Drosophila melanogaster: one gene and its partners. The gene in region 1 interacts genetically with each later gene. Each region holds a gene or a part of one and is shown in the gene's direction. Other genes may lie near its edges. The genes, in order: tsl, fs(1)N, gcl and trk.

Region 1 (8,497 bases):
CAGGTTGGATACATTGAAAATCAGTCAAGTTCAATAAGAATAATATAGCGGAGCGCTTCCTTTTAACCCACAGCCAAAAACGAGAACTCAACAAGGAGACCCAAAACCGAATCGAATCGAATAAGATCCTAAGTCGCTTTGCATTGAATTGAATTGAATTGAATTAATCGTAAACCCACTGGCCCAGTAACCACCCAAGCAAGCAGCAGCTTCAAATTTTCGAGATACTTTACAATGACACCGACAAACTGTCTTAGCAATGAAGAAACCTGGCATTTTTTTTAGTGCAGCTTCATGATCAGCAACCAGCGCTCAGTATTTCCGCTTTTTCCCTCACTGTAGCCCCCACATGGGAGATATTCAGTTTCGAAAGAAAATTGGTAATTTTGAATTAGCTTCCCTAACATAGAGCTTCTGAGATGGACGAAACAGAAACAGAATTTAGACTACGTCTACGAAGTTCACAAGCAATCACATACTACATGTAGTTGATGAGTCCCAAGAACACGTAGTTACTTTGGGTTAGGATCGGATCGAAGATATGTCACAAACACTGGAGATCGAACTTAGTAGTTAACCAACACACATTTGTATACACGTGCCACACAATTCTCTAGCTGTCCCTCAAAACAATTTAAGCCTGAGCTTATATTCGAGCCCAACCACACGACCCACTTGAATTTCCCAACCGCACACCACACAAGTTGAAGAACATACTTATATCCAGAACAATTCTATGGTTTCAAAATGGTTGAACAATTTTGCATAGAGTATTATCGTTAGACGCTGGGCTATAACTTTTCGGTTCTGAGCGTGGATGAAGATGAGATGAAGATAGCAGCGATGAAGTTAAGGAGAGGCAATGCAAATCATAGAAGTATCCCAAAAAAGAAGAACAACCGAACCTACCCGAAAAACTGAAGAACTAACTACCTACCCACAACCACAAATGCAGCCAAGTGGCCAAATTAACTAAGTATTATACCTTAAAGCGAACGATAGATTGAACGAACGGACGAGACGAGATGAGATGAGATGAGATCAGATAGGAGGAGGAACCTTATAGATGACACGGCTTGAGATAGATGTATGTACATTTTGAAGCTCCCCCAACCAGGCTAAGTGTGCCAGAAAACACCAAAAATCGATGAAATGATTAGGAAAAGAATGCTCAAATCAAAATCTTATATTTTACGGTATTACAATGATTAGGAACGATTGAAATGAATTGGAAATGGGGGGTAAAAAAAGAAAACGATACCGACAGAGAGTATCCTGAGATTGAGCTAGGATTTCGAATGATTCGTTTCGTACTTTTACTTGATCCTTTTTTCTTAGCCGATGCGAGCAGATTGTAGCTGTACTCTAAGAATAATTTCACACTAAGATTAAGTAAAAATTTATTGTTGATATTACATAAAAAAAAAAGAAAAGGAAGACGCAGAAGTGAGATGAACACGGTCGCGTAAACCAAATGAATTAGAATTTTTCTCTAATTTCATAAGTCAATGATCATTATGATGATGATATGATACCGAGGGTAACGATGGTAAAGATGAGTTGAAAATGCTTATGATCTCCAATGTCAATATGTGTAGATTGACGCGATTTGAGCTAATTGAGTGAATTGTTATTATAATAATAAATGAAGTGAAATGAATGGATCGGCAGATCGATCGATCGTTTGGGGCGCAGAAGGCCGCGGTGTTAGTAAATATCATTTAAAATAAATGATAAAAATGTCATTATATATACATAGTTTAAACATGGGATTAATAATAATAAATTAAATGAAAAAGAACCGAAGAAACTGGAATGAGAATTAAATAAAAACGAGTAAACACTGAAATACCGAATTTTAAATACATAAGTTTTGAATCATGCATGCTGCAAAGACAAAGCAAAACCCACACAGAAACCGAAACAAAAGTAATAAAATGAACTTCTATATATGAAAAGAGAAAAATATACGAGAGATACAATTTCAACCAGCTTTTGCAATACTTTTCGGAAGCCCTTCCCCCAACGCCTCTTCCAAAAGAAAGACCCCCCCCCATATCAGCAGCAAAAAAAGACTTCAAATCAGAACCTTTTCATTTCTTAGAAGCCAGCAGCGAATTTTGCAGAAATTCCCAATGGCCATTGGAAGTCAAGGCAAATGCGACAAAGCGGATGCCCTGCAGCCATGGCTCTTTGAGCAACAGATACAGATACAGATACATTTGTATCTTGAGCTTCTAATTGAAACATTACACTCGAACTTCAAACGTTGTCGCCCAACACTTTGAGTTGACCCAAATTTGTTAGCATGTTTTCAAGGTAATGCGAATTTGATACTTTCGTTTTCGTTTTTATTTTTCGGCTTACTTTTGGTCTCATTATTAGTTTTTTTTTTGCACAAGTAGTACCAAAAGTTTTTGATTACTGGCCGCCCAGTTCTATGGGAATCTTGCGCAAGTCTGGCCCGGGTAAACTGCAATCATTTCAATCTGCCTCGATTCGGCAGCCCTCCGACTCCCCGCGCCATTGAAGAAAACTGGAAGTTGAACGACGTGCTCGGAAATATTAATAAGCGGAAAAGCTGTCCCCCCAAACGGCAGATGTCAACAATAGATATTTGTGCCAGGCCATTAGCATTAGCCATAGCCACTACCGTTGGAGGAGTAGAACTTCTGCTGGCTGCCAGTCATTGAACTGCAACTGCTGCCAGTTGCTCGGTTGGATCAGACGACACGACGCACAGCAGCAACATGTTGCTGTCGTAGCGCAACATATATTGTTGCTGCTGCTGTAGCTGCTTGAACGGATCGGCTTGTTCTCTCCGGCGATCGAGTTTTTGGTAGCCAGTTTCAGTTAGGTTTTGAGTCTTCGCGCTTGAAGGTGTGCTGCTCGCGTTTTGAGTGTAAGTGCTGCCGCAAATTCCGGCTTATAATTGCAATTGAAGGCACGTCGTCGCTCGTTTTAGTGTGTTTTAAGTCTGTTTTAGTGTTTGCCGTTCAGGGTACTTGACGACTGCCTGTGTGTGTGTGTGTGTACGTTGTTGGTTGTTGAAATCTGCGCAAACGCATGTAATTCGAACCACAGCGATCTATTCATAGATCCGTCTTATCACTTGAGGGCGCCAACCAAGCCGCCGACCTCTGACCCACAAAGCGTTAAAAATCGGAGTCTTAACGATGCTAATGCCAGCCATAAAGCCAGCCAACCAGCCTTGTGCAATGGCCCCCGGTATCAGAGCGATAAGGCTAACCAGTGGCGAGCCACAACTCTAGACCTGCGGATTTGTGTCGACTGGCATATAGAATTAGCCGGAGCTTCAAGCTTCTGCCGAAAATAAAACAAGCCGCTTCTGGCCGATGGTTACGTCAATTTCGATTCGCGTTCGAGTTCTCGTGCAGGTAAATAATACTACCACAAAAGTGGCAAAAGCAGCAGCACCTCAGCAGCAGTCAAGACAACTTTTGTTTAACACCGCTCAAGGAAACAACGCACACGGACCAAGCATAAAATTAAGCGCGATATAAACTGCAGACCTTATGCCCCACGTCTGTGCCCTTCGCCCGGGGTTTACTCCAGACTACTACCACAAAAGAGCTCATGAAATGCGCATAAAGAATCTCCAATTGACTGGGCCGCGGACAACCACGGTGGGAAGCACTGAGAGAAATGTATGCAGGTTTTTTAGGATGTCCAAGAAAAATACACATTATAAAATCTTATTGGATAAATATAGGCCAAATAACAAATCTAATAACGATTTAAATCTGATAAAAGCATAAACAATTGGAATAAGATTCCAAATAGCTCAAAAGAGGAGTTAAGAGCTGACTGATTCTTCTCTTATTCAGTTCTAGTCCTAGATAGCCACACTCTTTTCTCCCAGTGCACAGGGAGTCACAGTTGAACGAGTTGATTTTTAGTTGCCTTTGCTTTGGAGTCCGAGTGCGCGCATTGAATTTTTGATTTAATTCGTCTTCTTCATCTCGAACTCCGGTTCGCGGCTTCTTTTTTTTTTTGGGGTCTTTTGCACAAGGTTATGCGTCCGCTATTGTCAATACCCCCACCGACAAAACTAACTATCATTAAGTCACATAACACATGCCTTTCAAGCGGATCTCAAATTTTGAACCTCAAGTTTGGCAATTGTGCGACAGTTTGATTTTCTGGGTCTCGCGATGGAGAACTAAGCTCATTTGGGCATTAGTTGTTTGCCAGAAGTTGGAAGCCTTCGAAATCGTATTCTATGCCGAGTCAGAATGTTTAAATCCGTAGAGTGATTGCAATCTGTGAGGTTCATCTGTAAGGTCAAGACAGCTGATTGCAGCATTTAGCAAATATTCATGTGTTTATAAAATGTGCAAACAAATATTTCCTGGAATCGCGCCCATGGGCAGTAATATATGTACTATAGGCAAGTATAGACAAGATGCAGTAGTCAAATGTCTCTTTTTCTTTGTTCCATTCACGGCTAGTTTCATTCAGTCACTCTTCCTGCTGTTTTTTGTTTAGTTTTTGCTGCTGGACAAGTTTAGCGACGCCTACATTTTATGGTTCACGTAAATGGTTAACATTTGAGTCTCATCATGGCTGCGTTTGTGTTTTTTTTTTGTCTGGTGCTGCGCTTCAGTGCGTCGGGTCGACAGGTGTGACTCACAAACGTGGCTAACACCCGGCTAACCTCTGTGTTTTTGGCCCATCAAACACGTCGCTCGTTCTGTGATAACGGCTCGAATTAAAAGCTGCCTCGCCAAGCTGTTAGAATGTGTGTATATGTCTGGCTTGGGCCAATTTGTTTGGCTTCCTTGCCGGCCATAATGCTTGGACAGAAAAAAAAAAAAAAAAAAACAAAAACGGCATAACCGGTCCTCTGAAGTGTAGTGGGCCAACTATAGGAAAACGGTTACGAGGCATGCAAAATGTTTTTAGGAAATAATTTGCAAGTCAAAGCGACAGCCGAACCAATTTTGATGGCTATACTTTGTAGCTGCTTTTACGGCCACAGAGCCTGCGGCTAATTGCATCCACTTAAGGTGATCAGAGTGGAGCTACGCAGAGCTCCAGCTCATCATCACCACCAGCTGGTGGCCTCTACCCAAGTCGACTTGGTCGGTTCAAGTTCAGCGCCACTGAAGGTTCATGGCCAATTAGAGCGCGCTTATATTATCGCCCGTTTATGGAGTGGAAAACAAACACGGCGGCCCTGCAATTATTGCTGTTTAGTTAACCCCACTGTATCGCAACTACTGCACTGGCTATAAAATATAAACAAACCACCGAAGTAGCTTGCTGTAAAACTTTCCGGTTTTAGTCTAAGTGAGTAATGAGTTCGGATGGTATAGCGCTGTTTGTACTTGCTTGTCATCAATATGCACATTGCAATCAAGAGTTATCTAGTCACTTGAATAAATTATTGTGGGATAGATATGCCTCATTATTGTTAAATTGCGAATTTTATAAGAGATCGGAATAGGTTGCGTTTGTTTCAATCAATAATATTTTATAGCAAGGGATTATATGGATATGGAATATGGAAACGTTTGCCTAATTCAAGTGTAATCGCTTTAAATTTGCAATATAATATTTCTATTATAATCCTCTATAGATCTAACCTTGAATGCTGAGCGATGCGGTCGTGGCCTGGCCTTTTCTGGCTGCTGACCCTGGCGCTCCTGGCGGATGGAGGTCGTCGCGAGTCCCAGCTCCGGATCGGCAAGGCCATCAATATATTCCTGCGCTATGGCTACCTGGGAATCTCCATGCGTGTGATACCGCTCAATGACAACTCGGAGCCGGATCGCTGGGTGTTTAAGGAGCCCACCAAAAACATCTATAGGGTAAGGGACTTAAGGCAGAGTTAAGCTTACATTTAATAAATTAAATGGCGTTGATGAACTCGGAATTGTTTGTATTAACCTTTAACCACAATCACCATAATTATTTGGAGTATAATCAAAATTTTAAAATAGGGTTTAAAGTTGTTATCACTTAAAACTATTTTTAGTTGTAATTATATTGTTCACTTCCGCCACGTTTGTCGTTAGAATGAGCGCTTATTATATTTGTTTGATCAGATTTAGGAAAACGATCATTATATACGATTATTCAAGTATGTCACTTGATATTTATTACCTGATAATTGAGCTGACTAGACAATTAGATAATTAATGATTTTTTTCTTTCAGAATCTGAGTGGCCTGGCGGAGAGTCATGAAGACACCACGCCCGGAATCTTTCATGGAGACTTTCACATGGAGTTCTGCGAGAATCGGAGGCAACTGTTCCAGGCCTACTTCCGTGACTTTTCCATTGAGCGAATGGACAAACCGTGGGAGGCATTTACTGGCGGATGGTTTCCGGATAATGCGGCCAAGAAGCTGGGCATCAATACATCTTTCATCCAAGGCGATTACTCGTATGTTTTGGTGAGGGTGGTGCGCTTCAGGGAAACGGGGCGTCTTAACGCTGAGATTCCGGTGCACCAACCCTTGGAGCCGGATGTGCGATCGAGAATGGATCAACTGCAAATCGGAAATATAACTTCCGCAGTGCGATTTATGGAAGATGTGGGCACCCACTACGTAAACTCATACACCACCGGCAATTCGCTGTATCAGGTGTTTGTGTACAGCAGGAAGAACTACAGCATGATCAAGGAGCGAATCAAGAGTAAAGGTCTGAACGGACTGTCCAAGTTGGATCTTTACAACTACTTTGCGCCCTGGTTTGCCGCCCATCTGGGCCAGATTCGATCGGCTAGTGCCAATGCTACAGTGGAAAGATGGGCGAGAAGGAAGCTGCAGTACGAGTACTATGTGGTCAAGTATGTGACCCTGCTGAAACTGCACGGTAATAGTACTCTACTGCGATCCCTGGACTCGCTGCTCGGCAACGATGCCATACTGCAGTTGGACCTCAAGTCGCTGAAGCCCATCTTCCGGGAGGAGCCGGAAAAGGAGAGCTGGTACCACGAGGTTCTCGACAACAATGTGAAGCTCTGGGAGCTTAACATGCCGCAGAGTCATCCCACCCGATAGCTGCATTTTAAATATATATATACTGTGCGATATGTGGCAGCCAAGGATCAATAGTTCCTAGATGCTTAGTTGTAGTTAGGAACCTCTAGTGCGTAGTTAATGTTCTGCCTGTGATAGTTTTAGGTAGTTTAATTGGAACACAGTACACATCCGACTTGCATTTCAGCTAACTAGACCGTAAGATCGCCTTATTGATGTAATAGTTTTGTAAACTTTAATACAAAGTAAAGATAAAAGTAAAAATCTTACTGTTTTCATAACTTGATATTGGCTATTAAAATCTAACTGTTTTCATTACGTAATATTGGCTATGAATATCAAATACTATTTTGAAAGTTTATTTTGAATAATTGATTTTGATTAAGAACCGGTAATCGAAACGGGTAAACGGCTCTACCCGTTTCATCAAGGCTTTCAACCAGACTTATTCTAGTTTTCCACCCTTACGTATTTAGTATATGAATCAAGTATATTTTTAATACCGTGTGGTATATTTCAAACGGTTCAGTTACGCTCATACTGAAATCCGAAATAGCACGTGCGGTTTTTGTATTTTGATTTTGATTTTGGGTGATATATACTGGCATGGATATTTTTTCCAATTGTCCGGGCTTTTGCCCCTCCTGCGGCTCCATTCTGCCCGAGCTTCAAGTCAAGGGCAATGTGATTTGCTACAACTGCAAGAAGGAGTTTCAGCCAGATGGTAAATCCAGAAATTACAACTTTGTTTAATTTATTTAACACTTAAAAATAGTTTACAGCGGCGAGAAGTCCGAGTTTACCATACACTTCAACACCTACGATCCCAGCAAGGTGTTCAACAGGACGAAAAGGGAGTCGGAATCGGACGCGGATGGCCCCGTTGTGGAGAGGAAGTGTCCCAAGTGCAACCACGACAAGATGTCCTATGCCACCCTGCAGCTTCGATCGGCGGACGAAGGCCAGACGGTGTTCTTTACCTGCCTTAAGTGCAAGTAGGTGTCCTGATAAACATATTCCTTCACTTCCACAACTAATCACACACATTCTACCTTGCAGATTCAAAGAATCCGAAAACTCTTAGTTGCTAGCAATGTCCGTGTAAATAGTCCTAGATTAATGAAAATAATCATGCTCGACGGCCTGAGAAATATAGAATTTACCAATTATAATACCTAACCGGTGTCAAACTTGAAGCAGAACCCACCTCGCTGGCCTTGAGTCGGTTTTTGGGATTGTAGACCACCAGATTCGAGACCAGATTGATTTCCACCGCATGTGTGCAGCTGGGAAACAAGTTGTCCCAGTGAATGCCCACGGAGTTGGGAAACCTACGTCAAGAATATTACGGATTAAGTAATCATAGACGGTAAGAATGCCTACCGTATCTTGCTGTAATCCGGCAGAGAAGTCAGCTCTGGCCACTGATTCAGACGTGGGCTGCCCAGAGTGCGAATGATGATGGCTAATTGCTCGATGTCGGT
Region 2 (9,112 bases), on another chromosome or scaffold:
TACAAGAAATCTCAGATTTCAGCTCCGAATTCCCTGAAACGCCAGCGAATTTGACTTGCGAATGTTTTCGCGTGTTGTCAACGAGCCGATAAACAAACACCTAAAAATGGCAATCTCACAATTCTCCTCCTCTTTTAAAAATAAGAAGTTCGCATAAAGAAAAGCAAAACAAAACAACGCATTCGGAGCGATAAATTAGCTTCGCCTTCGATGTGGGATTCGACATTGGAGGCAGGTTTACTGCCCCTGCTCCACGAGAACTCCTGCCTCCGTTCCCAGCAGACCAGCCCAGCGTAACGCCACGCACGCGCTGGGCATGAAGATCGGGAGACGCAGATCGAAGAGGACGCAGAGGAATTTTGTGCGCAGGCGCAGCCCAAAAAGGGCACCAACCTCTTCAAGAGATCTGGCTTCCCAGCTTTGCTGCCTGTTTTTTTTTTTTTTTTTTTGTTTAGGTAAGCTGCTGACAGTCCACACCGAAAGCCAGCTGGCGGCAGCATCTCTTATTGGACTCGGCCACAAGGATTCTGGAATGCCCTGAAGATCTTGTCTATAATGGTGGGTACAAGGTTTGTGGAATTCAAAATGCAGCAAGCTTGTGAGAGATTATGTAGAACAAATATTTAGAGTTAAAAGAAGCCAGTGAGTGAGTAATTCATGCTTAGGAATTGAAAAAGCATTTATAAGTTATTCATGTGTTTTTCAAATGTGAGCACTGATTCCAGTATTCCAGACAGTTTGGGTGCGATCCCGAATTTGAACACCAAAAGCGAGAACGATGACGCGAAATCGTGATCTGATGTCCGGGTTCTGGATTCCAAAGAACGCGAATCGAGGAGGAGTCTCCGAGCGGATCATAATCCCGAGCGCAGTTCAATGTCAAGTTCGTGCACCTCGCCTGCTCCTCCGCCCCCTGCATCATCGCTTTTATCCACGCTGCCCGGGGAAATGCGCGTTTGTTGTTTTTGTTGTTGTTGTTGTTGCTGGTGAGCTCATCGCCAGGGGGCACTGGCCACGCCCCAAAGTGACGGCATGGGCGCCAAGGAAGAATTCAAGTCGCTCCCTTCTCACCCTCCCTCTCTCTTGCTCTCTCCATCTCTTCCTCGCATGTTAAGTGTCCACTCGAGAGAGATTTGTATCTCAAGGACGCACTTAAAGGAGGCGCGAGTGGGAGGGCAGCCACATTTGGACGGGGTCATGGCCGTGAGTCACGCTTATGACACTCGGCAAGAAACGTGAGTGAGTCACTCCCCAAAGTTCCCTGATTCCCAAAAAGTGCACGAAATTGGGCGAAGGAAGGAGTGCGAGCAGAACGAAGAAGAAAAGCAAAACAAACTGGATTAATGCATCAGTGAGATAGGTGGAAGGGCGGGGGCGGGTGGAAGGAGTGCGAGTGTCAATCATGCAATTAGAAATTAGTTCTCATCTTCTACTTCACCCACAGCTTCTACGAATTTGTTTCTGTTTTTATTCGCGCACTGTGTTTACCGTCGGCCCATTAAAATTGCTGTTTTTGTTTTTGTTCGCTCGTTCGTTTGTTTGCAGCGGTTTTGGTAAGACAATAACAGCGAGCTAGCCGAGTTTCATTAGCGTTACTTTAAACTAATTAAACACGCGAGCTTAGCTAACTCACGCAATTTGTTCGTTTTTTGACAACAAAATTAATAGCAGCTGCGTTGTTATATTTGTTGTTGTTGTTGATGCAGGAACAGTTACTAGGGAAGCAAGTGAGAGTGAGGAAGTGATGGAAAGAGAGAGAGCAACGTCAGCCGGCTGCTGGACACACACACACAGAGGCACACTTGGGCGCACGCACAGGGAATTTTATTGATTTTTCACACTCACAAACAGTAACGGTAAACAGGAGCTGGGCCTAGATAACGGTAATAGTGGCCGAAAAGCGGACGCCCAGATAATGGAAATTCGCAGCACAATATAAACACAAAAGTTGCATTAATCGCAACCCCGGTAAAACGGGAATTGCTTGCAGGCTCTCTGCGCCTCTTTCTCTCTCTCTCACTCCGTCCCACTCTCACGTTCTCCAGCAACTCCTTTTTGCTCCCTTTTTCAAGCAGCAATGATTTTGGCACACGCCCAAAAAGCAAAACGCCGCGCACTTAAAAAAAAATAGAAGCCACCAACTTGCACAAAAAACACATTCACCGTTAACCCCAAGGACTCACTTTTCTTCAGCAAAAGCCCATTTCCGACCGGCCGATCGCTGTGGGCCAACTCCCCCGTTTTGTTGCACTCGACCGTTTTTAAGATGCGAAAACGCGCGCCGCGCAATCGCCTTCACACAGAAAACGCGTCCGGTCGCAGCAAATTCAAAACACGAATGAAAATGAGGGAAGTTGATAACCAGACCAGAAAATGATAAAGGCAAGGTGACCAGATAGCCGAACTGCTCCGCTCTGGCAGCACTTTTCCGGAGCGTGTCGCGACTAATTTTTCTAGCGATCCGGCAGCCCCGTTTTAAAACGGTAAACGGTTTAAAGTTTTTTCTTCGCATATCTGCCTCACGTGTTTGGTTTTTTGTCAATTAACTGTGTGCAAAATGCTAATTTGGCACCTGCTGCTCTGGCCAGCATTAATAGCCAGTGCCCCACCGCGGCCCCTGACCGACCAAAAGGCCGAGGTGGCCAAGCTGCGAAGCGAACTAGAAAAAGCTCTGGAACACGACGATGGAGGAGCACCAGTGAGTAAATTAGTGAGCTTGGTTTTCGTTTTCAATCAACACTCATAGCCGATCCCAGCCAGGAGTGGTGGTGGCACCCACGTGGACCCAGCAGGCGGGGCAAATGCCGCTTGGAAAGACCTCCAAAGTGGTGGTGGACCATAGCTCGCTGAGCAGCGCCTCCGCCATTCGCCAGGAGATTCAGCAGGCGGTGGCTCACCAGGGACAGAACCAAGAGGTCCTCCAGCTGGAAGCTCTGCTGAAAGCAAGAGGCAGCAGCAAGGAGAGCACGGCTCAAGTGTCCACGTCCCGTCAGGAGGTGCTGGGAGCAACTGTACAGGAAGCCAATGTGGTGGAGTCGCACTCGACATCGCAGACCGTGGACCTGGAACAACTACAGCGCCTGGAGCTGTCCAAGAGGCGCACCCGCGACATGCTCGTCCTGGGTCGCATTGAAGAGTTGCTCAACTACAGCATGCCGACGGATGTGGATCGCTGGCTGACCCTCCAGGCCAATGGAAGCGTTTTCCTTGTGGGTCAGCAGCAGGAGGGCCTCCTGGTTCTTTCAGAGGAATTCACTCCGTTGCAGTCTTATGTCCACCCCTTTCCCATCACCGCCATGCTGGGAACAGATCGCTGGAACAGAAGGGTGCATATGCAGGAAGGTTTGCTGGTGATGGCTTCCCAGGATCAGCTTATCTGGCTGCGATTGGAGCCCAGTCTTGGGCTAAAACCCATCTGGCACTGGACGATTGGCTCGCATGTGACCAAGATTAGAGCATTCAACATGGAGGGACAAGATTACCTCGCTCTCGTAGCAAATCACACGCTTAATATCTACGTCTATGATTTGGAAGCGGAGGAGTTCTGGATCGCACAACGTGTGCAAATGGCAGAGACGATCTCCAACCTGGCCATTCTCGATACAGGGAGGGAACTGCTCTTGGCAGTGGGTCAGTGGGACGAGGTTCTGATATACGCCTGCACTTCGAAGGGGCAACCGCTGCACTTGCGCCAACAAGTTGCTGCCCCCGAGGTGGCCGGCGTCACTGCCTTCCAAATGGGCGGACGCAGCTACCTTGCGCTGGGTGGAATAATGCCGCAGATCCTGGTCTACGTGCAGGGTCAGCTTGTGCCACGCACCATTCTTGGCCAGAACTTTGGATTTGTAGACCACTACCTTCCAATCCCCGTGCGCAGCTACAGAGACGACCTACTTCTGCTCGTCCAGCATCGAGTTGTCTTTGACACACATTCACTGCTCGTCCTGGAGGTTTTGGTTTGGAACGGTGAGGCGTTTGAGGCGGGCTTGCCGCCTCCTTGTGGTACTGCCTATGGGGCGGGCTGCATGTTGGATCAGGATCGTGAGGCTGGCATTTCAGGAGCTGTCCTGCTCCGCCGCTCGACGAATCAGCCGCCGCTGGTTGTGGTGCCCAGGAAAGAAGCTCCTACGGGCATTTTTGTGCTGGAAACTCAATTGCTGGCTAGGAATTCGGAGACACAGGACCTGCTGGAGATCCGACAGTTCATGCAGGATTGGGTGCACGAACAGGAAGAGCTAATCCAGCTGGCTGAAGAGCTCTTGGCAGAGAAGTCGGAGAGTCAGTACATCGAGGAGCTATCAACTCCACTGGTTGTAAGCGAGGGCGGAACCGTTGAGGAACTTTTCGTTAATGAAGCTCGCTGGACGGGAGCGGATGCTGTTGTGGATGTAAGCTCCCTGCTTCAGCAGATACTTCTGTTGGACGGGGAAATGAGTTCTAGGCGATCTAAACGCCAGCCAGAGACGCTGTTCAACTTTCACTACGAGCAACTGGAAGTAGAAGCCGTTGACTCTGTGGAACTTAACTTGGAGAAGCTCAACCATGAGACGTTCTATATCCGAAATGGCTCCCTTGACTTGCATCTGGGAACCCTCAATGTTCAGCAATTGGAACTTCTGGAAGCTCCGAAATTGGAGCTCGTCCCAGTCCACGGTGCAGAATCATACAAAATTCTGAAGATGGCTACGGATTTGGACAGCATTTTTATTAACGAAATGGAGTGGGACAAGCTGCTTCAAGATCTGGTGTGGCGTCATCAGCCTCTTAAGCTTTCGCAGTTACATGTAGAGGGAGTAAGTGGGTCCTTCGGCAGAGTTTTTAATTGCTAAGTCAATCTTTGTCATTCTACAGCCGGTCATTTTCGAAGATGTACTAAGTTTGCACTCTCTGAACGACCTAAGCTTTCCAGGAGACTATCTCTGGTCGCAGGGAAATGAGACGAGTGTTGTCCAGGCGCCAAAGGAGTTTACGCAAACGCTTTGTGAGTATCTTAAACGGAAAAGAGGAACTTCCTTCTAAGATTCCTTATCGTCAATAGCTGCAAATGCTGTGGACACGACGGGAACCATCAACGCCGTATACCCGCATGATGTCATTACTCTCAGTGATTCCCAGGAATGGCCGGGATTGGTAACCTTCTCGCATTTGGAGGTTTCTGAAGAATTGGAGGTTTGTACTTAGAAAGCTATTCACTGGCTCTCATTACTAAGTCCCTATCACCAAGCAGCTCAATGGCAGCGCCCAGGGAAGGCAGTTTGAGGAGGCACCTTTAAATCCCACTCTGCTGGAGTCACGTGTTATCAGTGCCGACTGCCATTTCGAACAGCTTCTTGTGCGTGGCCCTTTGCGGCTGCTTGGAAAGGTGGATAACGACAGCTTTGGCTCTCTGCTAGGAGATCTCGTTCAGCGTTCGCCGAACTCTGCCCAAGAACTACAGATAAGTGGACAAAAGCGAGTTGACCAGCTGCTTCTGCCAGTGGATGCTCATATCGCAGATAATCAGCTCAGTGGAATTTTCCTCAATGACTTTGTTACCAAGCACACGCCACAAACGCTGTCGAATCTGAGTCAACTGGGAGGGTATGTTTACTTTCATCAGCTGGAGCTTGGGAAAGAGTCCTCTTACGACGGAGTTCGCCTAGAGGAACTACTCTCCAAAAGTCTTCGACTAGATAGCCCATTTCCCCTGAGTTCTCCCCACACACGCCTTCGGTTTGTTGGACATGCCCCAAATTTCACCCGGCTACAAGTTGAAAACACCTTGAACAAGGTGCCGCTGTCAAGTGGCTACCAGCTGCTCCATGAACCGCTCCATCTAGGCAGAGCTAACTTTAGTCGTCTGATGGCAGGGCAAGCGCAGGTTAACTATGATGTCTCTGGCAACGGGCTACTCAATGGACGAAGCCTGATCCGTATTCTACAGGAGCAACCTAGGACTTGGTCGGGTGAAGTGCACGTGCAAGAGCTTATTCTTCCCCAGGGTGTGCAGGCGAACCAGCTGCAGGGCATTAAGGCAGACCTTCTGCTGGATTTTCTGCAGCAGCTGGACGAGCTCCCGTTGCTGATCCTTCAGGGTCGCATCCAAGTTGAACGCATCGCCGTCAACGGTTCGGTGCAAGCAGCTGAAACCTTGAACATGCAACCCTTCCACGAACTTCAGAGGCAAGTCGTTTGGCTGGATAGGCAGAACGAATTAGGGACGCGTTGGGTTCTGAAAGAATCTCCCCAGTTCCAGCAGAACCTCCAAGTTCTGGGCAGCTTTAACGAGCGCCTGCTCCCAGAATTGCTGGATGACATTGTGCTGCGCTCCGACGCGCACGAGGTGCTGATCGAGGGCACCAAAAGCTTCTTGGCTCCTGTTAACACTAAAGAGCTTCATCTGGCTGCACTGAATGGGATTCCCTTCAATCACATGGCCAACAAATTATCTCCGCTGCACCTCACTGGAAATGTCCGCATTCAGGGACGCATCTTTGTGGAGGACCTGCAGCTAAATGGTCAAGTAAACGGAGATCCGGACATTCCTGCTGATCTGCAGAAACTGCTCCGCTGGGATCCAAATGCAGGTGGCTTTGTGCACCGGGGAGTCGTTGAACTTCCAAAAAAGGAGCTAGAACGCCTAGTGGTTTTGGGCCACTTGAAAAATCGCAGCCGTGAGCCCGTTCAGGAACTCTTTGATCAGCTAGTCTTCAAGCAGCAGCGTGGCATACACTTGCATGGTCACAAGACTTTCACAGGCCGTCTTCGCATTGAAGATGGAGCTCACATCAAGTTCTTCAATGGACGCAACCTAGAACAGTTCCTAGAGAATTTAATCTACGTGGATTCGCAGGGAGAGATACGTTTGGAAACACCTGTTCGCTTTGCGGCTGATGTTAAAATGGATCATCTTGAAGCAGATCGCCTTGTACTGTCGGGAGAGCTGCTTAACGGATGCAATGTGAGCCAGTGGCTCCGGGACACTATTCGTGTCGATCGCGATTTCCAACAGCCTGAGAGTGAGTAAAAGATTCTTCATTTTATAATTCCATTCAATCATATTCGCATTTCAGTTGCGTTTGCAAAGGGATCGCTGGATGGTAATTTCTTGGAGGTTGAGGAGCTTAACGAAGTTAATCTCTCACTGGTTGTCACCCGCTTCACGGAGCAACAGCTAAGCGATCCCCTAGAGGCAGATGATTTGCTCCTAGATGGCCAGCTGGTGGTAAGGGGCACTGTTAATGGTTACAATCTACCAGAGGAGTATGCCAACACTTTAATGGTGAGTTAAGTACGACAATTTATACTCAAAATAACCCCCATTACTCATTTGCATCCTCAGATTAACCCATTGCGAGAGCAGCAAGTGGATACGCCTTTATTGTTGTCTAACATTTTTGTCACCGGACCCCTGGAGGTAACTGCTCCAGTTCATGGTCTAAACATAAGCGATGTGGCAATTTTGGGCGAAGATCCAGTGCTGCTGCAATCGCCGCTATATTTCGACACTCTGCATGCTCCGTTTTTGAGAGCGCAACAGAACATCAATGGATTTGACTTTAGGGCTTGGTACGGAGGAAGCTTATGGGCAAGAGGTCGGGAGCAGCAGGAAATAAGCGGGAACTGGCGCGTAAAGAAACTGCAGGTGAAGCAGGGTGATGAGCTGCGACCACGTCGACAAACTGCAGAAGAGAGCTACCGGGAGTTCTGCGAGGGTTTGGTCAGGATTCTCCTGCCTTACAAGGTCCAGAAGCTGCGGCGGAGATTTGATTTAAATCAGGAAAGGGATCAGGAGAATATTCGCCGAGTATTTGCTTTGGAGGCACCCGGGGGCATTAGTTATCTTCTGATCAACGAGCGAGGTTGCTGGACCCGCATCCACCGCTGGAATGGATCTTTATTCGATCGATCCGGAGCCTTCAAGAGCGGACCTGTGGACGAGGCAGTTGCTTTACGGGTGGGAAACACAAGCTCTAACCAGGACTTTGCCTTTATGACCAGCTACGAGTTGCAGGATGATCAGAACGAGCCAAGCTTGAATTGCAGTGCAGTGAAGCCCATTCTGCTGAGCTGGAACCTGAACAAAACAAAGAGCACTACTGAGCACATGGAACTATCAGCGGACACCCTAAGAAATCTCAAAGATCAATATGAGCAGCTTAAAAACCAGCCACTCCCTAATCCCAGTTACCAGCAAGCTTTTAAGTATCTGCAGCGTCCCAGCATCAAGTCTCAGCTCGGATCACAGTGGCAAGAGAATAAACATGAACTGAGTCCTTCGGAGATGGCCAGAATGCGGAGACGTCTGCTGGACACCTTGGAATTCCGGTTGCAAGCGGAGGTAAACATTACCCAGTTAAGTATTCCAGAAAGCGACCTATTCGACGAGCACCTTGTGGAGGATTTTCTGGAGTTGATGCGCCAATTGCGAACCTTGCGCCGGCGTCTAGATACAGAGACTCTTCCACTGCCAAACACGCCGGCAAGAGTTCTGGCCGCACGGAGTGCCCAGCTCATCTGGCCCACGTTGCAGGAGTTGCGAGAGGTTTCGAGTGGAAACGATTCTAGCTTCCAGGAGCAAGTTCTGGAGCAAACGCTGCTGGATGTGCTGATGCTGGCTAATGAAGAAAATGGCTCGGGGGATGATGAAAAGCTGCATGCGGTGATTCAGAGATTGAGAAACCTTAAAGGAGAGCTTCAAGGGCAAGAGGAAGACGACGAGGGACCTGCTGCCTCCTATTCGGACAGAAATGAGCAGCGTTTGCCGCTACCAGAAGTCGACTGGAGACCCATTCAAACACTTCGCCTCGCTGTGGGACCAGCAAACCGTCCCCGACTTCTTTACGCCCGGCTGACCGTGGTGACACCAACAGACGGTCCTCCGCCCACCACGCCCTCCACTGCGCCAGCCGCCCACATCCAACTGCATCATGCAAATGGATCGCTCTTTCAAACGCTAGCAGGGGAGCATGGAGCACGCCATCTGACATCGTTGCGGGTACGAGATGAGACGCTGCTAGCATTTATGGAGGGATGCTGCCGTATAAGAGTGCTTATCTACCGCGGTGTGCAGGGATTCGTGGACTTTGTCCGTTTCCCCGCACCTGCCCAAGAAGCTAAGAGCGGAGATGGG
Region 3 (8,336 bases), on another chromosome or scaffold:
TGAACAAATCCCTTAGCTCATCATTCATCTCCTGTATCTCTTCTAGCTCCTCCACCGCTTCGACATCCTTATTCGCCTTAGAAGCATAGCCGCGCAGGATGACTTTATTTGAGGAAACAATGTCAATAGGACAACAAGAACTGCCTTCCGGAAATGTGTCGTCTGTGTGGGGCATTGCATTCGAATCTCGCAAATGCCTTCACCAGTTGGACAGCTTCCTCCGGATGGAATTTCATTGGAAGTAGTGGGGAATGTAGACTTTTGTGTGAGCAGAACAATATTTATAAAAATGTGAATAAGTTGTAAACGTCACAAACTAAGCAAAGATTCCCAAGGATCACGAGGGGGGACTTTAATGATAGCTCAACATTTAAAAGTATTTCGAGTGCGTTAGCAGGTGCATGGGTCCGCTCATGAAGATAAGCTGGCAAAAAAGAAGATAAGAAAGCTTCGCCTGATTTGATTTGCAGCCTGTGTGCTGATAGATGACAGCTGAATTAACAATTCTCAGATTTATGACAGCACGCTTCAGAATGTTGTTCCAGAAGAATATATCTTTCTTACCGAAAAGCAAGAGTAAGCCACCACAAGAGTAAATATTTTCGCATCACTTGTCGAGTACGTGTAGTTATTAAAAATAACTTGAACGCTCATGTTTCTGGTTGCTGTTTGCTCAGATGGCTGCCGTTGGATATCCGATTCAGTATCTAAGTATCTCAGGTTGAAGGCCTTGCAACGACCCGAGATGCGGCAACTTGCCATCTTTAGTTAAATTATTCATCAGAAATTCATCATGAAATTTAATCTGCAGTGCGCCGCAGTATATCAACAATTGTCACTCTGGGGATGAGTCAACCAAACAACAAGCAACCTTCGATTTGCGGAATTGCTTTGTTTTTAAAGCCTCTAACGCCATACATATCTACAAAATGTAAACAAAGAAACCCTTGAGATTGGACAGATTAGAAAAGATAACTCCACTGCTGTCCACACCATAATCAACCCATGTGACGGAGTTTTCTACTGGAAAACGTGACCTGATCAAAGCATAAAGAAAGTAGCGGAACAGTGTAAAATATACACGAATAGCGTAGTGAGACAAATACTATTAAGCAAGGGTTTTTGCTCAACGACTCAAATCTTTTATTGGCCGCAGATTCGCGCTCTCTTAAGGGCAGAGCATTCTCTTTCATTTTCAGAAGAGACATCAAAGGTTTCTGGGTTTCCAAAAACATTGATAACAAGACTGAAAATACTGCACTTTGCACATTTATATCCCTTTTTTTAGCCAATAAAACTAATTTCTTATGAAACTTTTGAAAATTCGACAATGCTTTACATTTCTCCAAGTGTAGCGATTGCTAATGCGAAGTCAGATCTTGTGAAAGGTTAGTTTCGGACAATGGACATGGGATGTGGAAACTTCCGCAGTGGAACCGATGGCAGAAATAAGTTGTTGTGCCAAAAAGCCCCGATGATAGTACAGTATAATTCGCTTAGCTGCATCGATAGTTAGCTGCATCGGCAAGATATCTGCATTATTTTTCCATTTTTTTGTGTGAATAGAAAATAGAAAATAGAAAAAAAAAAATTAAGTTAGCTGCATTTTTAAGTTACCTGCATCGAGGCATTGTGCAAAGTACTCGAGGCAGCTAAGCGAATTATACTGTAGTTAAATTTGATCAGATGACGCAGCAGCGGCCAATCAGCCACCAATTGACGTCACAGGCGGGGAAAGTGCAGAGTTGGCTCGTCTTCGTCTTCGCAAAGTTTTGCAGTCATTGGCTGATTGATTTTTCCCTTGCGTGACACTGAGCAGGGTCAAAGGTTTTTCGCAAATGCCGCAGGACTGCATGCGTGGGTGTATCTCGATATACACACACGCATGTATGGATTAAAGGATACCCCCCTTGATGCACTTACCAGGTGCCACAATCCGATCATCAAAGTGGCCGTGTGGACATGCAGGCCGAAGCAGCAGGTGAACTCCTTCAGGTGACGGTTTCCGGTGCTGCTGCTACTTCCGGCGGCACCATTGTTGTTGTTGCTGTGGAGCTGGTTGCGTTGGGGACCCATCTTGAGGTGGATCCTAAACATTGCACGCCCCACGAAACTGCGGCTGTGGAAAATGAATGCGAAAACGAAAGCGATAACGATAACGAGTGCAGAAAATAATCAGCAATTGTGGGTGTTTTATTCCTCCCACGGATGTGTGTTTGTGTGTGTATGTGTGTTTAGGTGTAGGTGTGTGTTGCATCTACGAGTATGTATGTATGCATTTGTATTTATGTGTGCCACTTTTTCACGACTGATGCTTTGACCTTTTGCACTACTAATTCGGCAATTGATTCACTCTCCTTTATAAGGCGTACCTTTGATTTGTGGGCCAATGCAACTTGCACTGGTTTTCAACTCCGATTTATATCTGCAGCTCTTGATGTATTCAATTTTATTTAACTGCTGCGCAGCACGAAAACCCGTGAGCACTAATCTCTGAAAGTGGTAAAATGCCGCGCAACACGGTCACACTGACATTATGCGTTTTGCAGAACGGTAACGTTTATACGAGTCATTATTCGCAAATATCATGATATTATACAATAATTTTTGAATTAGATGTCATATAAATAAACAACAAAACGAAGAGATGTAAGCTCATTTATTTCTAAATATTCATAGTTTATGTATTTTGTGTCCCCAAATGTAAATTGATATGTTTTTATTACTATTATTGAAGTTAATATTATTTTTAAAATTTACTTCGAAAGGAGCAACTCAAGATAGGTTTGTGCTTCCGCATCGTAAAGTAAATATTAATTTTAAAAAGTACGGTAAGTGTGACCGGTGCGAACGCTAAAGCGCCAATCCGCAAACATCGATAGCAGCGATGCAATCAAAATACATGCTTTGCTATCGTAGGGTGACCATAACTAAAAGATTTGGAGAGCCAACTGCAGCAAAACAGAGATAAAATTGACAGCGAACGGAATTGAAATGGCTTAAACCGCATGCCTAATCAGACTCGCGTAGAATTTTAGCCCGTGTTTATTTTATTTATTGAAACGAAGCCAGTGAACGTGGGGTGCAATTGCTGTTATATAAAAGTACGGCACTGTAACTGCAGTTTTACAGTAAGTTTCGTTTATCAGTTCCCCTTTGTGTACCTTGTTTCCTTCAGTTTTGCGTCGTTCGTTAGCGCGCTCTCTGTCGCTCTCTCTCTATCTCTTTAGTACGTATCCATCCCACCCCTTCTCTGTTATTCCCAACTACGTCACCCACCGAATTCACTTTTGTTTGCTATTTATAGCTGCGGATTAACTGCACTTCGCAGCCAGGAACATGGGGATATAAAGTGAGAAAAAGTTGATGGTCTGGTGGTCCGTTTTCCATATCGCTAATCGCGTGTTATCAGGGCCAAACAACAGGCCATCGTAAATAAGCGTTTTAAGCTGTCAATCAGCTGATTTTGCATCCATAAATAAAAGAGTGCTGCTTGTAGCCTTATCTGTAGGTTAACCACATATATTAACCTGCTTCAAACACCTTTCTCCGATTTCGGACGTCCCAAATTTTCCAGCCGCGGTGGCTCAGTCGTCTAAGGCAACTGGAATTCCCTACGAAATCAGTGCGCGAGTTCGAGTTCGAGTCTCCGCCCATGCTTGTTGGCTTCTTCCGACGATCACCCACGTTATTTAGCCGTTAACTCCTTGGGCTACATTAATTTTTTTTGTCATTTCCCTAACTTACATGTGTAAAAAAAAGAGTATCTTACATGTGTTTAGTTTATCTCAAAAGTGGAACAATCCTCCTTTAAAAATGTTTGGAGTGGGTCTTCAAAGAGAAGATCATATGCTTACGTTTTTATAAACTTAAACTTCCGGATGATACATTTCGAAAGCAAACCTTATCCCCCAAGGTGCAGTAGATAAAATCTGTCAAGCGTGAAAACTTGTTATTAAGTTTATTTTAAACATGTTTTAAAATCGTTTGGAAATGCACTTTATCTTACCACCATCGAAACAAAAGCTTCAGGCACTGCAAATGTTTCAAAAAAATTAAAAATAGTTGACTATAATAACATGTATGTTTACCCTAAACCTTCCTTTAATTTCTAAACTACGACTTTTGGAAACTCGGGTTATACTTGGAGGTCCGGCTTTGTTTGGTGGTCTTGGTCATCCCCCTTTTGTTTGTTTCCCTCTCAATCTTCAATTCTCTCTGCTCTCTGGCTTCAAGTGGTGACGTAATTTAAAGCGCTGCAATCGTCTTGTTTTGGTCTTATAAGAAATACACGCTTTGGGAACCGGTTTGGAACACTACTCTTGTTTTCGGAACTGCGCCACACCAAAACAAACCTTTCTCCACCACGGCAAAATCATCATCATCATTATTTTATGCTTAGTCTGCGTCCGAATAGATATCCATAGTCCGAGACTGTCCGGTCGCCCATATCAATGAGATCCAATGAGGTGACGAAAGCGTCCGTTTGATTGTTTATGGGCAGCAAATACACATATATACGTGTAGTAGCAGTAGCTTCCAACGCGGCCTTGACATGGTTACATCAGCTCGTCCAGTTCCAGCATTTGGCGGCAAAGCATAAACACAACATATACGCGCATGGAATCGAGCTCGTTTGATCTCATTCTAATTATAGAGTCCCGCCCCTTTAAAATTACCCAAATATGTTTGCGCTACAGTGCGGTTCAGGTCGTTAAAATCGCTTTGAACGGATGCTTCTCTGTTTCTTACTACATTATGTATTCCATGCACACAATCTTAATAGACTCTACAAATTGAATTGCATTTTGTCGACCTTAATAAAATAAATGTTGCCTTTATACACACCTTTAAAAACTAAAATACTAAGATACATGACTTGTAAAATCTAATAATTAGTCTTGGGCTTATTGCGTACCTAATCAAAAAGACTAAGCTAGATATCAGTTCAGTTACTTGCAATCTACAAATGACTTTAAGTTTTCCGAGCATCGCTGCTCAGATATCTTATGACATCACCATTGTTTATGAATGGATGCGCTTTCCACTTGGTTTTAGGGCCTGTAAAGTCGCCCACACTAATGTTCGCCCACCCGGGAAAGGTTTCCCCGCCTTAACAGCGGCTGGCGTTACAGTTTGGCGGAATGAAACTGGGTCAACTGGTTCCATTGAGGGCACCATCAACACGCAATCTGTCAGATCGATAACAGACCGCATTTTTATTGTAAACTCTATTCATGTAGGGAAATCTAAAAAAAAAATTGTATATATGCTGTTTCAGAGTAAGAATTCCTGCGCTCAGCCATGGGTCAAATAGTGGGATCCATGCATATGAACGTCGCTGAGGTGTTCAGCAATCGACGGAAGCGGAAGCGCAGCACTGATTCATCTTTGGGGAAGGATGATCCGGCCCAGTTAGACACCACTCAGCCCAAAAAGTAAGTGGTTACCTTAATTAATTTAAGGTAATTTAATTTACCTGCTTAATTTCCGCAGAAAAAAACTTCTTACTACCACCCAGTACATATACAAGGCGCTCTTCAAGGAGGAAAAGAACTCGGATGTGGCTGTCATGGCTCTGGATAAGGTCTGGCACCTGCATAAGGTGTACCTGAGCCAGAGTCCATACTTCTATACTATGTTCAATGGGACGTGGCGGGAAGCCCAGCAGAATTTCATTCAGATCACAATCCTGGACGACCGGATCACCGTTGCTAGCCTGGATGCTGTCTTTGGTTCCATGTATTCCGATGAGATCGAAATCGAGTCAGCAGATGTTATCTCGGTATTGGCCACAGCCACGTTGTTCCACTTAGACGGAATCATCGACAAGTGTGCCGAGGTGATGGTGGATAACATTAGTCCGGAGACAGCTATCCAGTATTACGAGGCCGCCTGCCAGTACGGTGTGGTCGGAGTCAAGAAGTCCACCTTTCAGTGGTTCCAGATCAATCTGCTAAGCATTTATAGTAAGCAACCGAACCTGCTTAGGCACATCTCCATTGAGCTGATGAGTGCCCTGACCGCCAGTCCCGATTTGTATGTGATGCAGACGGAGTTCTCGCTGTACACTCTACTGCGCACATGGATGTTCCTACGACTGCATCCCGACTACGATCCAGAGGACCCGGTCCAGCGGGCGGAGGCGCTAAAGACGCAGGAGCTTTTGGTTAATGCCGGCGTGGAAACGCATGCGCCTAGTGGTGATGTCGTCCAGTGGACATACTTTACCAGCCGCTCGGAGGAACGCTCGTTCTTGGCCACGCCCGAGGGGCAGCCTTATGTGAAGGTCTTTCAGAAGCTACGAACCCAGTACCTGACCAACCACTACATGGATCTAAAAATCATATACAATGACAATATTATACCCAAGGAGTGGCTGTATCGGCACATTCACAACCACTGGGATGCATTACTACGTATCGATCATGGGCAGGAGGATTGGTAAGTCTTCTGAAGCCTCTCCTGGAATTATATCATTAAAAACTAAAATCCTTTTATTCTGCATTCACAGTAGTCCTCAGCAGCTGGACGATGAGCAGTTCTTTGAGAACTGCATGCGATGCGGACGTATGTTGCTTGAGCCTGGCTACCAGAAGTGGCGCTGGACGGGCTTCAACTTTGGCATGGATCTCATCCTGATCATGGACTCGCGTAGACTGAACATTCGTCGGCACCACCGGCACGAGCACGAGCGAGTGCTTAGCCTGCAGACGAAACGCAAGTTCATGGTCCGCACCACGGTGACCTCGATAAACGCCCAGCGCCAGGCAGTCTTCACCCAAACGTCCGAGATCTGTTCTCTTAGCCTCGAAAAGAACGAGGAGGTGCCACTCATGGTGTTAGACCCAAAGTTGGTGCATCCACTTCTCATTTCAATAAACATGCTGGTGGTAATGCCACCGAATCAGAGTTTCAAGGAAATTGTTCCGCTCAGCGAGGAGGCGACAACCTCTCTCTCCATACCCATTTCGGAAATCGGAGCAAACAGCGACAGACCGCTGTCCCCGTCCAGTGCTGATGATTCGGCCGTTTTCATTGGTGACTCTGAGCCTTCGACGCCATCCTCGCCAGCCCCACGGCCCAGAATCGCTTGGTCGGCTAGCGAAACGGGCGCAATCTGCGGACAACTGGCGTGCTGAGCACGTGCTGAGCAGTCCACCAAACCAATACCAGTACCACCACTACCACCATTTTTTTGTTCATTTACCCGCAGCAGTTCGGGCTCGTTGTAGTTGTTTTGTAAATTCGTTTATCGCCATCGCGATTAGCTACGGCTGATCACTCCATCTAGACGTTTGTACATCGAGTATAAGCATATCCGCAATCGTTTTGGAATGCGCAGATCTATATTTTTGTATATCGTTTACATCACTAGTATCATGTAATGACGCTTTACGTCATCTACTTAAATGGAGTAGACGCACACTCTAGTGCCCTCGCACAATATGTAGGCGTTGCAAATAGTTTGTAAATTTGGAATTTAAAGATTAATTGTTATGTTTAAGTAACAAGAAAAAACGCGGCAAAGAAATTATGGTTTAAGCGTCTTCGAATCCTGCAAGTTCAACGCATGTAATTACTGTCCCTAACACATTTTTACTCGCTAAATGTACGCACAGTAACTATTACCTTGAGTGATCATTTATTAAAGATTACACTTAATAAAAATCTGCTCTGATTTAGTTTTGATTGTGATCCAGGTCGAGAAGGTTCCTCACCACAGATTCCTGCCAAGACTTTAAAAAGTTCATCAACATCCACTGTGCCTGTGGTCGGCATTCTTCCCCAGCAGCGGATTTTCGCAGTTGCGCCAGGACCCAGTTGACTTTTCTGCTCCGCGATCGATACGTGTAGTTAAATCTTCGCGCAGCAGCGATAAAGGGTTCTTTCTCCGACAGACTCATGTAATTCCACACCTTGCCGGCAATTAGAGTTACCCGATCCGACGGCAAGTGGCCAAGGCAGTTGTTGGAACATTTTCGAAAGTAGGCCAGAAACTGAAAGAACGGGTTGCGTCCATTGCAATCGTTGTTTTGCTTTAGCATCGAATGTCCACTGATTGACGTCGCCTTGGCGGCACTGTTGCAATGGGCCGACCTTACTCTATTATTTTTTACAGCACGTCCCATTTTGGGAGAAATTTGAAATCATCTGAATACACGAGTCTAAAATATATATGTATACATATATGTATTTGTCTAACAATTAAATCAAAGTACATATTCGGGGTCGTTTAACAATTGAATTGTTTGCAATTAACAACAAAAAATTTAATAAGATTTACCTAGTTCCATACAGACACCAAACAAATTCGCTTTCTCAGCTATAGATAT
Region 4 (4,934 bases), on another chromosome or scaffold:
AACACAAAACAACAGTCAGACATCAGCGCAAAATCTAATAAGTAAGTGACCAATTTAAATAGTATATATCTTAAAGTATTAAATCACTTTTTAACACTCCAAACAGACATTTCGGAATCTTTAAACCAGCGCAACTTCAACGCCATGCCGGAGAGCAACAAAAGTTCGGAGCAAAGTGTTCTTGACACCTTCGACGACATCTCGAATGATATTTATAAACAGAATGAGAGCATCAAGCTCGAACGTTTGAGCCAGGATGCACTGAGTAACAATGAGGACTCGAGGCATGATTTTATTGGCGGTGACAACGCCGACATCTCGACCACGTTCAAAATACAAATGGACTCGAAGCAGTTGATGGTAGCTGTGAAGCTGCTGCCGATTGATGAACCGCCCGTGCACTGTACCATTTTGCAAGTGAATGCGCCGCCGCCATCTCCGCCCGATTGCCCACCGCAGAAACTGACGCGAGATCAACTCCTGCCTCCCACACCCTCTGTTCATTTAGAAAATAAGAAGCACGCGTTCAGCCCACAGTTGCAGGAGTTTTGCCTGAAACATCCGATTGCCGTTGTACGCGGCTTAGCGGGCGTCTTGAAGCTAGATCTCGGTCTCTTTTCGACCAAAACGTTGGTGGAAGCCAACCCGGACCATAGTGTTGAGGTTCGGACACAAGTGCACCAGTCTCCCGATGAAAATTGGGACACTTCGCAGGGTAAGCGCGTCTGGGCCTGCATTTCCCATCGGTCTCACACAACCATAGCCAAATATGCCCAATATCAGGCATCCAGTTTTCAAGACAGCTTGAAGGTAATGTTCGTTGGGTTGGTTCCTCTTTAACATGAATACAAGTTTACTTTATCGTGTAGCTTATTTTACCGCAGGATGAAAGCGATAAAGGTTTCCCCGGCTCGCAAGCAATGTCGGATTCAGACTCAAAGGACTCGGTATCCAATTCGAACATTGTTCTCAAACGTAAAAAACACAAAATAAACAGCAAAATGTTGAGGTAATAGAAACTCCAAACCATTTATGTCTGCATTACGAACTTTATGAACATAAATTAAATGCTTATTTCGCTTTTTTTTTTAGGTTCGGGACCAACGTGGACCTCTCCGATGAAAAGAAATGGAAACCACAATTAACAGAGCTACAAAAACTGCCAGCTTTTGCGCGAGTTATATCCGCTGCCAATATGCTATCACACGTGGGCCACGTCATTTTGGGCATGAACACCGTTCAGCTGTACATGAAGGTGCCCGGAAGTAGGACGCCTGGCCACCAAGAGAACAACAACTTCTGCTCAATCAACATCAACATCGGTCCTGGCGACTGTGAATGGTTTGCCGTCCCTGACGCCTACTGGGGCGGAGTTCACAATCTTTGCGAGAAGAACAACATTAGCTATCTGCACGGCTCGTGGTGGCCCGTCCTGGAGGATTTATACAAGGAGAATATACCAGTTTATAGATTTATACAAAAGCCCGGTGACTTGGTTTGGGTGAATGCCGGGTAAGCACTGAATATGAAAGGAAGGATGATGTATTAACAATCAAACCTACTTTCAGATGCGTCCATTGGGTTCAGTCGATCGGTTGGTGCAACAACATTGCGTGGAATGTTGGACCCTTGACTGCCCGTCAGTATTCTCTTGCCATCGAGCGATATGAGTGGAATAAAGTGCAGGCCTTCAAGAGCATTGTGCCGATGGTGCATTTAAGCTGGAATCTTGCAAGGAATATTAAAGTGTCTGATACCAAACTTTTCGAGCTGATAAAGTGAGTTAGCAAATGATAGGAATCACCATTATGCAGATACTATAGGGCATACATATGTAATTTGTAATTTTCAGAATGTGTTTGCTGCAAACGTTGAAAAACGTATTGCACATACAAGAGTATGTCAAATCGAAAGGTGTGGAAATACGTTTCAATGGACGCGGAAAGAACGAAGCATCCCATTACTGCGGACAATGCGAGGTATTTAGCGTAGTATTATTAACATATTTATACAGTTTCCAAAGGTGATATGAATGCAGTTTATTTAATCATTTGTGCACTCTTTGCAGGTTGAGGTTTTCAATGTGCTGTTCATCAAGGAGCAGGAGAAACGACATGTGGTCCACTGCCTATCGTGCGCGCTGAAGCTATCTCCGTCGCTCCAGGGAATCGTTTGCCTGGAGGAGTATCGTCTGTCTGAGCTGCAGCGCGTGTACGATTCGTTTACTTTACACAGAACCCAAGGACTAGCATACACTCAGTAGTTGTAATACGAGGAATCATTTTAAGTAATGCAGATTTAATATATGTATATTTTACAACGTACAATATACTCTCTATTGTTTTGATAAAACATAACGGTACGAATATATAGAGATGGGATTTTTCGAATAAAGCCATCAGAGCAGTTTTTTCGGCTATTATGTTTGATAGTCGAAAAAACTGGAGCCCACTTGAGTAGCGAAACTTACCTTATGATGACAATTTTATTATGACTTCAAATATTTAGACCCATCTTTTATAGTTTAATTTAAAAAAAAAAACTTTAAATTTATCCAAAGTTTAGAATGCGTTTTAATTATATATATGAATAAATTTAATTTATAATCTTTCGCAATGACACTGAAATTAAAATCCTTCTTTTTATTGAATTGGCTGTTATTACTTTAGTACCTAAATAAGTTACAGTGTAGAGAGCAACGATAACTGCTGTAAACACGATAAATCAATTGGTTGATATTGGTGTAGCCCTGTTTTTAGCCAGCCATGTTTCTGCGTATACTGTGTCCAACTATGAAATCCCAAAGTGAACTGGCCATTGTGCTCACTTGGTTGGCAGTGCTGGGGACGGCTCAAGATGATGCCGATTACTGCGCCGAGCTATCCACGCAGTCGCTGGCCAAAATTCTGGGACAGGCATTTAATCCGCGCTACATGAGCATCGATCCGCCGGGCGAGCCCGAGGAGAAGAGCTATCATCTGGGATACAAGCGATCGTCGTACGAGCTGCCCTTCTATGCGGACAGTGATGCGATTTCGGTTAGCCACTTTCCCGCCTGGGAGACCAACCACTTTGCGCTGGTAGAGAAGAAGAAGGAGGCACCGAGGAGCAAGAGTCTGCGCACGAGAAGCGCCTTCATGGATCGTGTGGGACATCCGAGAATCGATGGGTTCAAGCAGCGGCCGTGGGAGTGCTCGTCGAAGATCAACTGGATTGACTTAGGCTTAAATTACTTTCCACGCTATATCCGTTCGATCGAGTGTATTGCCAGAAAATGTTGGTATGATCACTTTAATTGCAAGCCAAAATCATTTACAATAAAAGTACTGCGCCGTAAAACTGGCTCATGCATTCGAATAAACGATAAATTGATTTTGATCACCGCAGAGAAGTTTGAGAATGATTATACGCAGCTCTGGATTTGGGAAGAAATAGCGGTTAACTTTTGCTGTGAATGTGTTATGCTATACTAGTAGCGCCATTTAATCAAGATTTAATTAATATACACGTTTAAAATGTCAACAAAAAACTTTAATAGCATTGGGAACAACAGATACCTTAATGGGTCTTGCATCGTACTCCTCGCCATCGATGGAGTAAAACTTCTCGCCCATTTCACCATCCGGATGCAGTTGAATAGTCCTGCTCTTAACCACCAAGCTGGGTAAAATTTTGCTGCACGTGACTTCCGGAATTTGTTTGATAAACTCCCAGCCCGGCTGCAGGGAGCTTATAAACTGACTTTCCAGCTCCGCAAAGTTATCCTTGTTCTGAACACAATTGATGTTAATCTGGCTGGCTTCAGCGCTTCCCTCGAACTTCTTGCTGCAATTGTCGTTCTTGACGAGCGGCCTCTTGGTTTCACCCGGATTATTCTTGTACTTAATGAGGCCTCTGGTGAAGAGGCCAGAAGGCTGGGCGGTCTCCTGGCGCTGCACAGTAGCAGCACAGTCAACGCAGCCAGGACACGGCGGTGTGTACACATAGTCGGTCTTAAGGCTCCAGTTATCGGCAAAGGACTTGGACGCAGCGGAAGCGTAGTGTCGCAGTGGTCCAAAGTACCAGTACTTATCCTTTGCCGCATCGATGTCCTCCAGCAGACCCCAGGACAGACCATTAAGACCGAATATGGGCTTCAATTGGCTATTGCTGCCATCTTCTTCATTGATCACATCAAAGCGGATCACACTCTGGTACTGGCTCTCATCCTTGAGCATAGGTTCAAGGGCTTTCGAAAGACTTTTCACATAGTCGACGTCCTTGACGCCAAAGATGTTGATGCGCTTGGATGCGGACTGCACCGAACGTCCCAGCGGAAGGATGGTGATCGGGCAGAGATTGCCGCGCCTACGCATCAGCCCAGTGACCACCTCCGATGAGGTGCCGTCGCCGCCGGCAACAACAATGGCATCGGGTAGCGTTGCCAACTCCTCCACGTAGGTTTTGGCATGACCAATGTGATTCGTCCGAAGGATCTCCACCGAATATCCAGCTAAATGCAAAACCGGCTCGCAGTAGTTCTTAAACTGAAAATCTATGGCTGGGTTATCATCTTAGTCAGCTGTGTGCCAGCTACTTACAAACTTCTCCGATCTCTTCTTGTTGGCCACCGGATTCATGACCACCAGTACCTTTTTGGGGCGATCCGATATCCAGTTGGCCTGAATGTTGGAGGCGAATTCCCGCATATGTTGTTCAATCCTGGAGAGCAAATAAGGGGGTTAAAGTTGCGTCAAATTTTCACGGTTTTCTGAATGCATACTCGATGTGAGTTTTCAGCGCTTGCAGCGCGTACACAGATACTGCCGCTCCGAACGTGCATTTCTTCCAATTATTCCGAATTACTCTTAAATAATTCATATTTTCAATTTCGACCGATGATTTTGATTCCACATGTATTGGTTTGGCCGCACACAAACAGCTGGATTTTAGAT

Evidence for each region.
Region 2: of tsl (region 1) and fs(1)N, changing one suppresses a phenotype caused by changing the other (phenotypic suppression), as found in Drosophila melanogaster (one study listed by BioGRID).
Region 3: of tsl (region 1) and gcl, changing one suppresses a phenotype caused by changing the other (phenotypic suppression), as found in Drosophila melanogaster (one study listed by BioGRID).
Region 4: of tsl (region 1) and trk, changing one suppresses a phenotype caused by changing the other (phenotypic suppression), as found in Drosophila melanogaster (one study listed by BioGRID).

Annotation. Positions count from the first base shown.
Region 1 is NT_033777.3:21,776,889-21,785,385, reverse strand, and holds tsl (torso-like), read left to right. Parts: upstream 1-2,849; 5' UTR 2,850-2,902; exon of another isoform or gene 2,903-3,398; intron 3,399-3,480; exon of another isoform or gene 3,481-3,668; intron 3,669-5,602; 5' UTR 5,603-5,624; coding exon 5,625-5,834; intron 5,835-6,182; coding exon 6,183-7,034; 3' UTR 7,035-7,272; downstream 7,273-8,497. Other genes in the region: Polr1H (RNA polymerase I subunit H), read left to right, coding at 7,620-7,737, 7,789-8,008, 8,073-8,097; CG6800 (uncharacterized protein), read right to left, coding at 8,173-8,344, 8,397-8,497.
Region 2 is NC_004354.4:1,320,017-1,329,128, forward strand, and holds the start of fs(1)N (female sterile (1) nasrat), read left to right. Parts: upstream 1-2,496; 5' UTR 2,497-2,557; coding exon 2,558-2,698; intron 2,699-2,756; coding exon 2,757-4,793; intron 4,794-4,851; coding exon 4,852-4,981; intron 4,982-5,038; coding exon 5,039-5,169; intron 5,170-5,227; coding exon 5,228-6,998; intron 6,999-7,052; coding exon 7,053-7,261; intron 7,262-7,321; coding exon 7,322-9,112.
Region 3 is NT_033778.4:8,721,334-8,729,669, forward strand, and holds gcl (germ cell-less), read left to right. Parts: upstream 1-2,924; 5' UTR 2,925-3,131; intron 3,132-3,307; exon of another isoform or gene 3,308-3,352; intron 3,353-3,571; exon of another isoform or gene 3,572-3,732; intron 3,733-5,281; 5' UTR 5,282-5,304; coding exon 5,305-5,438; intron 5,439-5,496; coding exon 5,497-6,444; intron 6,445-6,514; coding exon 6,515-7,142; 3' UTR 7,143-7,666; downstream 7,667-8,336. Other genes in the region: CG14767 (uncharacterized protein), read right to left, coding at 1,924-2,097; CG30357 (uncharacterized protein), read right to left, coding at 1-175; CG30356 (uncharacterized protein), read right to left, coding at 7,683-8,132. UniProt on the Drosophila melanogaster protein: Required for the specification of pole cells and germ cell formation. Mothers with reduced glc function give rise to sterile adult progeny that lack germ cells.
Region 4 is NT_033779.5:10,270,041-10,274,974, reverse strand, and holds trk (trunk), read left to right. Parts: upstream 1-2,650; 5' UTR 2,651-2,765; coding exon 2,766-3,473; 3' UTR 3,474-3,518; downstream 3,519-4,934. Other genes in the region: Utx histone demethylase, read left to right, coding at 1-41, 107-810, 870-1,009, 1,093-1,512, 1,569-1,778, 1,853-1,979, 2,069-2,263; Mulk (Multi-substrate lipid kinase), read right to left, coding at 3,519-4,526, 4,581-4,701, 4,763-4,860.